Linked DNA regions of Arabidopsis thaliana. The protein of the gene in region 3 purifies or fractionates together with the protein of the main gene of each other region. This does not show direct contact. Each region holds a gene or a part of one and is shown on either strand. Other genes may lie near its edges. The genes, in order: AT2G05920, AT2G40650 and RS41.

The links.
Region 1: the proteins of RS41 (region 3) and AT2G05920 fractionate together in Arabidopsis thaliana (co-fractionation; one large-scale study listed by BioGRID). This does not show direct contact.
Region 2: the proteins of RS41 (region 3) and AT2G40650 fractionate together in Arabidopsis thaliana (co-fractionation; one large-scale study listed by BioGRID). This does not show direct contact.

Annotation. Positions count from the first base shown.
Region 1 is NC_003071.7:2,270,768-2,274,520, reverse strand, and holds the start of AT2G05920 (Subtilase family protein), read left to right. Parts: upstream 1-2,068; 5' UTR 2,069-2,313; coding exon 2,314-3,753.
Region 2 is NC_003071.7:16,964,046-16,967,798, forward strand, and holds the start of AT2G40650 (PRP38 family protein), read right to left. Parts: upstream 1,754-3,753; 5' UTR 1,552-1,753; coding exon 1,262-1,551; intron 1,067-1,261; coding exon 945-1,066; intron 855-944; coding exon 764-854; intron 674-763; coding exon 553-673; intron 458-552; coding exon 384-457; intron 1-383. Other genes in the region: AT2G40660 (Nucleic acid-binding, OB-fold-like protein), read left to right, coding at 1,966-2,028, 2,324-2,422, 2,637-2,807, 2,962-3,027, 3,224-3,289, 3,415-3,537, 3,630-3,753. UniProt on the Arabidopsis thaliana protein: Probably required for the first pre-mRNA cleavage reaction catalyzed by the spliceosome.
Region 3 is NC_003076.8:21,128,682-21,132,434, reverse strand, and holds the start of RS41 (RNA-binding (RRM/RBD/RNP motifs) family protein), read right to left. Parts: upstream 2,116-3,753; 5' UTR 2,002-2,115; intron 1,391-2,001; coding exon of another isoform or gene 1,355-1,390; coding exon 1,249-1,354; coding exon of another isoform or gene 1,161-1,248; exon of another isoform or gene 1,098-1,160; coding exon of another isoform or gene 986-1,097; exon of another isoform or gene 942-985; coding exon of another isoform or gene 735-941; exon of another isoform or gene 645-734; coding exon of another isoform or gene 620-644; exon of another isoform or gene 555-619; coding exon of another isoform or gene 548-554; exon of another isoform or gene 349-547; coding exon 236-348; intron 156-235; coding exon 1-155. Other genes in the region: AT5G52045 (uncharacterized protein), read left to right, coding at 735-941, 986-1,097, 1,161-1,390; AT5G52030 (TraB family protein), read right to left, coding at 2,401-2,694, 2,784-2,885, 2,980-3,087, 3,180-3,254, 3,331-3,419, 3,508-3,626, 3,723-3,753. UniProt on the Arabidopsis thaliana protein: Required for constitutive and alternative pre-mRNA splicing. Involved in primary miRNA processing and pri-miRNA biogenesis. Binds both intronless and intron-containing pri-miRNAs.

The DNA.
Region 1 (3,753 bases), on a different chromosome or scaffold from region 3:
TGAAAAGCGTTGCACTAGCTTTTTCACTCACAATCACGGCCAAGTCTAACAAGAACTTTAGCACCTCTATTTATACCATCGAGGTCTTCGGTCTTCTAGGTTAGCCTTCAAGATCTTGGATCACTCCAAATCTTCGCGTGAATATCTTCTTTCCAAACTGAACTCCTCCTGTTGTGGTCTCCACGTCATTCGTTCATTTGGCGGCATATCCACGTCAGCATCAATTACTTGATCTTCACTTTAGTCTTCTGAAACAGCTTCCAGCTTGTTCCAGCAATCAACACTCCTTCTGATTGTTCTGACAGAGGGTGCACTAACATTTTTATCTCCCAAAATTGTCTACTTCTTTGTAGGCTATTATTGATGGTAGAAATCAGATTTTGGTCAGCGTCTGGGCTTGCCATTGCCTCCTCTAGCTTTTGCCTATTCTCTTCAGTGGCTTTTTGACTATTTTGATGCTTAGTCCTAGTTCAGGTAATGATTTCTTGTATAAATCTACTGACATTTTCCTCAACATCCTCCATGGCGTCAAAGTTCCAAGCTGCTTAAATTAAAATAGAGACTTCCTCATTGTCTTTCAATCTTTTATCGTACTTAAAAACTCCTTTTTTCTTTTCCTCGAATACATTAAAGTGAGTAAGAAGTGGTTGACGGTCTGAGCTTTCAAACCTTAAATACTCCCAACGACTGGATGGGTAAGCCTTAGCCCTTGTTCCATTTGACATAGCCCTATATAGTGTGCAATGAACAATGAGCTCATGTCTCTTTCCTCTCCAAGAGAAGAAGTTGCTCAAGTGTCTGAGATCGTATAAGTCACATTCTGACATGAATGACCTAATGTTCACAAAAGTACCTTCATGTATGATTTGTCCTCCTTGTTTTTCTGATGCATCAATGATGTCATTAAAATCTCTTGTTAAGTGCCAAGGTTCTTCTCTATTCCCATGAATAATTAAGATCTCATGTTTTCAACAAGTATTACTAAAACTATTATTTTTATTCTTCAAACTCAAAAAGTAGAGCTATATAGTGACAAAAAAACTGTTGCACGTAAATTTATCGTCATAAAAATGACTTTTAACATAACACGTGAATTACACATTGTTTAATGATACGTTACTAAAAAAGATAACGTTATTTTTTGACCACCGATTTTTAAGTAATAAATACATGAATTGTTACAAGCAAAAAAATGTTGAGAGCTTATTCAATTTCATCATACTAGTGTGACATCATTGCTACATATATTGAATATATTGCACGTTTTTAGTTACACATATAAACACTCGTATGCATAACTACGTCAGGTATCCCGACAACAAAATTCACCTAATTTGTTTTAGTTAGCAAACCTGATCTAAAAACTCAACATTATGGGTCTTTCAACTTGAGTTAAGTACACAAACTCTCCCATACCAAGCTGTGAAGAGATCCAAAAAACAATATCCAATGTCTACATTTATTTTTATTTCTATTTTAAAGAAAATATAATCGATTTAGCTTCAATAACTCTAAAATAGAAAAAAAAAGAAATTACTATATATAGATTACTCTTAAATTTTCAATCAAAATCCAAAAAAAATATTTCTCAACATAACACATCTTACTACTTTAAAAACCTCACAAAATAGTTATTATATTATTCTTAGTCAAATTCATAACCTATATTCCCTATTTTCCGGTCAGTCATATGCTTTTGCTAATAAACTTAAATATAGATAGATCTGATAAATTCTTTTCGGAACCAATTATTTTCTTCCCTTAATTTATTAGTTGTTACCCTTTAAATGATCTTAATTCTAAAAAACAGACCAACAACTTTATTAGCTACCCTTAAATGATCTTTAGTTTTCAACAAACTCATCAACAATTTTATAAATTCTTAAACCCAACATCATCCACCCAAACACAATTATTAAAAAAACAATCTATATGTTTATAAACATATAATAAAATAAAATAAAAAGACACAAAAAGAACGTTGAAAAAAGAAAGAAAAAGACACAAAAGAACGTTTGAGGAAACCAATAAAAAGAAAAATGGGCCTGAGAGACTGAAGAACAACCCTTTTATCACGTATCGTGTCTCCAGCTGTATATATATTTCCCACACACACTCTTTTTCAAAACCCCACCGACGATGGCATTTCCGTTATTATTCTAACGGTCACACGTCCCTTACGTGTCCACCACTTTTTTTTATTATTATTTTAATCCCATCACTCTTTCTCTCTCTCTCCCTATCTTCTTCTTCTTCTTCTTCTTATTCCCCACACTCTCTTCTTCTCTACTTCACCATCATTCACACACACTCATGGCTTCTTCTTCTTCTTCTTCTTCCTCCATCACAATCATCACCACCTTCCTCTTCCTTCTCCTCCACACAACCGCCAAAAAAACCTACATCATCCGCGTCAATCACTCCGATAAACCGGAATCATTCCTCACTCACCACGATTGGTACACATCTCAACTCAATTCAGAATCATCTCTTCTCTACACTTACACAACCTCCTTCCATGGCTTCTCCGCTTACCTCGACTCCACCGAAGCCGATTCTCTCCTCTCCTCCTCAAACTCAATCCTCGATATCTTCGAAGATCCTCTCTACACACTTCACACTACGCGTACTCCTGAGTTTCTCGGTCTCAATTCCGAATTCGGTGTTCACGATCTCGGTTCTTCTTCTAACGGCGTTATCATCGGAGTTTTAGATACTGGCGTTTGGCCTGAATCTAGAAGCTTCGATGATACTGATATGCCTGAGATTCCTTCTAAATGGAAAGGAGAATGTGAATCTGGTTCCGATTTCGATTCCAAGTTGTGTAACAAGAAGCTTATCGGAGCTAGAAGCTTCTCCAAAGGATTTCAAATGGCTTCTGGTGGTGGTTTTTCGAGTAAGCGTGAATCTGTTTCTCCTCGTGATGTTGACGGACATGGAACACATACTTCAACTACCGCCGCGGGATCCGCCGTTAGAAACGCTAGCTTCCTCGGTTACGCCGCCGGTACGGCCAGAGGTATGGCCACTCGTGCTCGTGTTGCTACTTATAAAGTTTGTTGGAGTACTGGTTGTTTTGGATCTGATATACTAGCTGCTATGGATCGAGCTATACTTGATGGTGTTGATGTGCTTTCGTTATCTCTTGGTGGTGGTTCTGCTCCGTATTATCGCGATACGATTGCGATTGGAGCGTTTTCGGCTATGGAGAGAGGTGTTTTTGTGTCTTGTTCTGCTGGTAATAGTGGTCCTACTAGAGCTTCTGTTGCCAATGTTGCTCCTTGGGTTATGACTGTTGGTGCTGGTACTTTAGATAGAGATTTTCCGGCTTTTGCGAATCTCGGTAACGGGAAACGACTTACCGGTGTTTCGCTGTATAGCGGTGTAGGAATGGGGACGAAGCCGCTTGAATTGGTTTATAATAAAGGGAATAGTAGTTCGAGTAATCTTTGTTTACCTGGTTCGCTTGATTCGAGTATTGTTCGTGGGAAGATTGTTGTTTGTGATAGAGGTGTTAATGCTAGAGTTGAGAAAGGAGCTGTGGTTAGAGATGCTGGTGGTTTAGGGATGATAATGGCGAATACTGCTGCGAGTGGAGAGGAGCTTGTGGCGGATAGTCATTTGCTTCCCGCGATCGCTGTAGGGAAGAAGACTGGTGATTTACTTAGGGAGTATGTTAAGTCAGATTCTAAACCAACCGCTCTTCTTGTTTTTAAAGGAACGGTTCTTGACGTTAAGCCGTCTCCTGTGGTT
Region 2 (3,753 bases), on a different chromosome or scaffold from region 3:
AAAGAAAACATTGATTGAGCTAAAAACTAGATGGGAAGTGCTCTCATGATTAACTGATCTTTTTCAAAGTAACACAATGACAACTACCATATACTGTATCAGGGTAAGGATTGTAATAATGTCTGATCCATAATACTTCTCTCTGAACACTGTCAGTACAGAGAAACCTGGAAGGATCTCTACAAATTTAATTTCGGAAGCTGTATCCAACCGCTGATGGCTTGAGATGCCATAGTGGAAACAGACACTCAAAAGACAGAGTACTAGACATGATGCAAGAGCATTAGCTAGATCAAACAGCTTCCACAATCACAAAGAATTTTTTTTTGAAAAATGTTAACTAGCATAGAAATGTATCTAGTAAAGGTCACGGATTCAGATACCTGTGTCTATGACTGTCGCGTCTCCTGTCTCTGTCTCTTTCTCTTTCTCTTTCAGGACTCTTACGGCGCTGATCCTGTAAAAGAGGAGGAAGATGGTATCATCTTAGAGCTGCTAGATAGAAACAGAAAACAGATCACATAAAAACTATTGCAGAATGAAAGCACTGACCATCTCATCTTCAGATCCATCAGCAATCCCTTCATTCTCCTCCTTTTCTTCCTCTTCTTCAAAGTCGTCTTCCAAAACACTTTTCCTTGGCTCTAATAAACCATTCTGTTCAAGCGTCCACCTATCATCAGAGTGAAAAATTAACCATCTTAAAATACTGCAGAAACCAAAAACTAATTATTCAGCTTCAGACAAATGCAAAAGAAGAAACCTTTTCTTCAAACGTGGCATTGCAATATCACAAGAATAATCCTTGGTTAGAAGTTCCTCAATGACTTCGTCCACATGTGTCAGCGAAAACTCTATTCCAAACCAAAGAAATAAATCTAGTTAGTGAACAAATCAATCAAAAGTTAAACACAACGGATCCATCGAAAGAAAATGAAACTTACTCCCATCAGATAACTTTTGTCTCACTTTCCGGTAGTCATTGTAGAGAGGTTCGAGGTAGCGATAGACATCAACATCAGTCCCAGTGAGACGCAGATAGAACGCACCAAGAATACGAACATATCTGCAGAAACCAAAAGAGTAAATATTTCAGTAATTCAAGAACAAATATCTGCAGAAACTAAGAGAGTAGATTATCTAAGACCAATAGATTTGAGAGACATTCCATACCTGTATACTTGAGAAACAACTACGACAAGGCTAATAGCAGTATCCAATCTAGATTACGCAGAAATAAGCTTTTGGTTAGAAATCTTACTTGTAGTCATCATTTTTTATGAACTCCACGACAATTTCCTTCTCAGGCTGGATTTGAAGCATCTTCAATATGAGGCAAAGGAACGGAGTAGGCTTGCGGCTACCACCAAAGGTACCACCTAGATGGTCGAGCTCCATAGCTTTGTCCACCAATGTCTCCGCCGTGAGACCAAAGCACTGCTCCTTCCAAAAGGTGTGCTGATAAATCTTCGTTCGCACAATCTTCTCTACCAGATTCTGCGGATTCGTTCCTCTTATATTCTTTGCCAACGGATCTGTTCTGTTTGCCATTATCGCCTGAAGTTAATCAGAAACTGCCTCAAAGGCCTAGTCGTCGGAATAATAAACGTCGAGCGACGCCGCTTCAGTGAAGCCGGAATCGATGAAACAGCTTCCACGAATTTGCCGTCGTCGAAGACGAAGACACTCTAGGTCTTTGAAGAATCTGAGAAGTTAATTCATTTATTTTATTTTATTAATGATTGCTTTCGGTGGTAAAGCCCATAGTAAGAACATATTAATGGGCTGCTAATATATCTAGGCCCATTATAGATGGAGATAACGCCGTTAGTTGGAAGTCCGTTAGGACCGTTAGTTACATCAAGCAAAAACCCTATCGAAGAAATTGCAGTGTGTTTTCTTACAGCGAAGAGCCCCAAAGAGAAGAACAAAATTTCGAAAATAGAGAAAGAGAAGAAGTTGACGATGGATTCAAAGGCGAAGCAGATGATTCTTTCAGCTCTCTGCAAACACTTCTCTTTGGATCCTGTAAGTATTGAAGAAGATGACATCTCAAAAGCTTCTGCTTTTTTGTGAGGTTTTGCTTGGTAGCTGAGTATGTGTATGATCATTTTTTGAATTAGTTAGTGGAGAAAACTCGAACATTATCTGATTGGGTACTGAAATCAATTAGAAAGTTTATGTTTTGGACTTATCAGTGTTTACGCTTATGCATCAAGCTGGTCATGAAAAAGGAAAAAACTTTAGAAATTGGCTTTTATGATTTTACATTGTGATGATTTATTGGTTCTGTTTCTGAAATTGATTTGATTCATTTGTTTAGGAACCTTTTGTGGGCGGAGCGGGTGAAAGTGATATCAAGACACTTTATTCTAATGTATTGAAGGCATCTGGAAAGGAAGTATCTGCACAAAACAACGATGTAAGTCGTTTCTTCTTGAATTTGGTTCCTATAGACATAAACGCCAAACTCTTACTGGGAATTTATTGAGTTCCCTTCTCGTTGCTACCACGTTAGAAAAAAAATGAATTAGTATGTTTGAGTTCTGTGTAATGCTAAATGATGAGGATTCGTTGGCTTTCGTTTGCATAATGCGTCATTGTTTCACATTTTAAAGAGTAAAAACCTATTTCAGGTTTTGAAGTGGCTAGATTTTGCGGAAGGTTTCTCTTCAGATTCAAAGGATTGGTTTTCAGCTCTTGAAAAGTTGAATTTAGAGTTAGCTACCAAGTCAGTGCTCTTGGGAAACGGATTGACGCCATCGGCAGCTGATGTTGCTGTGTTTTCAGCTCTGCATTCTTCAGTGGTACCACTTCTCTATATTCCGTAGTCTACTTATTTTTCGTTCCTGTATAAGTAATTTTATGTTACTTGATAAAGATGCTACGATCAAATTTTCATAAACTGATGACTAAAGGTATTAAATACTAACTGTTATCTGTTTGACTTGCTGTTCCCAGCTTGGCCTCTCAGATTCAGACAAGGAGAAAGTACCACATGTCATAAGATGGGTGAATTACATCCAGGTAAGTTCGACATCATAAAGTTTTGTTACTTGATTGCGCCGAGGTAGCCTGTAAATCCATGGAGGACTACTTTATGTGTACGCGTAACGGCGTTAGTGACTATAGCTAGATATGCACTCTCTGAACATCACCTTTCACATTTTTCTTTCCTTGTGATTGTCTGCTTTACGAATATATGCTGCGTATTATTTTACAGAATAAAGAAGAGTTGTCGACATTATTTGCACCAATACCTGTGAAGCTACCAGAATTTAGCTTCGAGGTGAATTATCTTTTCATACCCATTTTCTTAGACTGAGAAACAATAATAACATGCTACTTTTTTCAGATGTATTACATGCGATGAGAAAATGGTTTTCTGATCTTTTTCATTTATTCTAAACGTAGGTACCAAAACCTGCCATTAAGGTGGAAACAAATTCTAATTCAAAAAAAGCTGCAGAAGGTGTAAAGCCTGTTGACAAGCCAGATGTGCAGCCGCAGCTGGGCACAAAGAAAACTGAGCCAGAGGTACTTATTTTAACTTTTAAGTTTGATTTCAATGACTGTGAGTCTCTTTAATTAGTTGAATCTGGTGTTCTCCTCTGTCCTTTTTCGTGTAGGAACCAAAGAAAAATGCAGCAAAAGAGAAGGATGCCAAAAAGGAAAAGAAGAAGCCTGCTGAACCAGAACCAGCTAAGAAAGAGGCAGAGCTTAGTGTCAGTTTGCTTAACATTCAGGTTGGTC
Region 3 (3,753 bases):
TTAACAATTTTACCATACGGCTCAAAGTGCCTCTCCAAGTCCCGAGTCCTAGTGTTTTGTGCATCGAAGTTGATCACAAACAGAGTCTTGGAAGGTCTCAAGCCAGAAGATGATCTCCTCGAACCACCTGATCTTCCAGCACCTCCACGGTCATTCTATACCCAGTATTAGAATTTGCATTCCATCACTAAATCCGTCCTGATAATAACTTTTAAAATGATATTCAAGATTCTACCTTTGTCCACTCAACACGGAGTCTGCGTCCTGTGCGACCATATTCAAAGCGATCAAGCGCTCGAATTGCATCTTCAGCATCCCTTTCATCTTCCATATAGACAAAAGCAAACCCTGGGGAGAGAACCAAAAGGGAAAGTCAGAACATGAGAACAATCTTATCAAGTAAACCAAGAAAAAGAACCTCCTCCAAGAGGAATTCTAATATGAAGACTCTCCCTTCCACGGCAGTATCAAAACAGCCTTTACTACTTACTGTGACAAATAAGTTTTGAACCTAAAATCTCTACAAACTATAAGTAGTTTTACAGACCTTGCATTATGGAATTAATATGTCAAAGAAGAAGAACTGAAAATGAGGAGGAGATGAGACGGAATTGTGAACAGAAACGTGGTGGCGCAAACTCCATTTGATTTGCTGCCTCTGCTGTGAGAGGTTGGTATAAGTCTACCAAAGAGGCATGTGCATCTCGAAGAGGAGAAAAGTCAAGAGGAATGAAATGCAACTAAAGTCGGGGTTATGGGAACGTAGTGCCATTGCGTGGATGAGGTTGACTCTTTTGGGCAGGAAATGGATTTTCCATATTGTCCATCAATGGGCTGTGTGGGAGAATGGGCATCCCAAGATCGAAACAAATCCTGCGCCAAAATCAAATGTTGAGTATGGCGGTTTTACCCTAAAATTACTCGATCTTTTCTCTTCTGAGGTATGCTATGAACTTCATGCGGGGTGCTTCAAGTTCCTTGGCAGATGTTGGAATCAGATGGTAGCGAACCGAGGGAATACGGAATGTGGGATGCAGAGGCTAGAGAGCACACTTTGAAAGGACAGTCCTCCAGAGAGTCTCATGGAATGAACGCACGTAAGTGGATTTTAAGAACAATGCATTTGACTGAATTTCGCTTGTTGTTCATCGGATTGGTAGTGGTTTACGAGACTTCTTTATCCATTTCAATTCAACCAAACAGAAAAACTAAGAGAAAGTATAAAGAAAAACAAGAACCAAGACTTACCAGCTTTCATATCAACCCTCTCAACCTTGCCGTACTTTCTGAAAAGCCGCTCAAGATCACTCTCACGAGCATCATACTCAAAGTTTCCGCAAAAGACAGGCTTCATGATTCCTACAAAATAGACAACAGAAACGATTTATAGCTCCTCTCAACAACCTAAGTATCAAAAGATATCCAAGAGATACTAAACAGAGCACAGATTTGACCAAAATATACAAATAAACACACTCCAGAAGAGAAGCAATAACAAAACATATAATTAAGATCATAGAACAATGAACATAACAGGAACCAAACCACAGAAAAATGTAATCATCTACACTTCCAAGTTTTCAACTTTATAACTGTAATAATCAAAATCCAATTCATCACAAATTAACAAACCAATGCAAATTTCATACTTCAAGATTTCAAATTTACAACTATATTCAAAATTCAATTCATCACAAGTCACAACCCATAACATACCACAACAGATTTTCATTAAAGTTTTCATATTTATACAAAGGAAGCCCAGAAAGTATGGATTTTTTCAAGCTATGATGAAAAAAACCTCAGATCTGGAAAAAAAAAATCAACCATATGAGAAAACAAAGCAAGAAGAAACTACAATTTCAACAGACCTAATGAAACAAGAAAAATTCAACGGAAGAAAATGAAAAAGCTATCGAATTTAAATCTGAAGAACAAGAGAAGAGAGAGACCAAAGAGAGAATCGAATTCAATATCTGAAGAACTCGATTTTGATTATACCTTAGAACAAGCAGTTGAAAAATCGTACCGGCCGTCGAGAGTCGAAACCCTAGAAACAAGCTTCTCTAGATTTTATTTGCTTTCTTCGAGGCTCTCTCTCCAGATAATGAATCTTAAACATATATTTATATTTATATATATATATATATATATATTAAAAAAAAAAATATTTTATTTTTATTTCGTTACCAACTAGAGAAGTACAAATAATTTTTTACCTAAACATTTTATGTTTACAATTGAAATTTCTGCAAAATATACATCAATTTCATATAAGACTTTGTAGTTGCCTCAACAAAATCTAGAGGAAGAAGAATCATATACATACATATTGTACTCATTTAGATTCTTTTTCCAGTTTCCTTTTTAAATATGCAACAACTTGTTTTTTTAGTTATATCATGAAAGGTTTTGATTCATCATCAGATACTGTTCATATAACTCCCATAGCAAGAACCCTATAATTGTGTCTCTTACGAAGCTCTTTAAAACCTTTTGAATCCAACCGTTCGATGTAGTACCAGTACCACCATTATATGAATCTCCTCTTCCCACCAAATCTCTAAACCGGAGATCCCCAGAGTCTGACACCAACGCGTAGATGACACCATTCATGTGTCCTTTCCCGATCACTCCCACCACTGTTTTACACCCATTCACTGCCTTACTTCTCTTCAATGACCAAGCAAGATACTGTCAAGGCAAAAAAACACATTATTTGGTCAAGTCTTATCAGCATACGGTTTTTTTGAGTGTCGCTTTGTTTCGGTTTTTATGCTTACGGTATCTCTTTCGTGTATAAGAGGCATTAGGAGTGCCGGGTATGAGAAACTTAGCCGTTCGTAAAGCTGCAAACTTCCACTGTTTTCATCGGTCTCTTGTTCCTGTTGCAATGCAAACACAAACCGAAAAGTTACAACTTATCTTATCATCTTCTTGAATTAAAGCGAAACCGAGTTAGCGAAAGAGAAACAAAACCTTAAGCTCCGCTGCGGATATACCCGATGACGATGTGATTACCCGAGTCACAGCCATCACCAGATTAAACTTCTCTCCCCATTTCAAAGAGTTCCAAGCCCTTTGGAGCTACAATGTTATAAGTTCAATGTAGATTCCATTGGTTTTAAACCCATATGTAACTACAAAAACGATCAGTTGGTACTTGGTATAGTCATTACAGTTATTTCGATGGGTCGATCTCCAAGAACCAGCTGCGCACCAACTTCCTCAGATGCTTTCCGAGCAGCACGAAACTGCAACAAATAGCAATCAAGAAGAGACTGAATGTCCAAAAACAAACACTAACTCTTGAGGTTTTCTCAAAAGTACCTCATCCCCGAAAGGGCGGTCAGCAACAGAAGATAACTTAGAAGAGAAAACCGCCAATAGAAGTCGCAATGCCAACGCAGTTTGCCCTCCTATGATCATCCCAAACACACACATTCATCAACGTTGAAGTACAAAAGCGAGCAATGGTAAATAAAAAGCTTTGATTAGTTTATATACCCAAGTCTAAACTCCGGCCAACAGCACCGAGAAAGCCAGTCCCGGTCAACGACAACTCTCCGGATTTTAAGTTTTGGTCAACCTCTCCTCCAACACTTGAAGTGTACATAATCCCAGCTCTGCAACATCAACACCAAGCTCTGCAATTTGTTACACAACACAATGGCTAATTCAATTTCATCAGTTGGCAATAAAGTCATCAAATTTCACGAAACCCGAATTTCGTTTGGATAAAGAATTGGACTT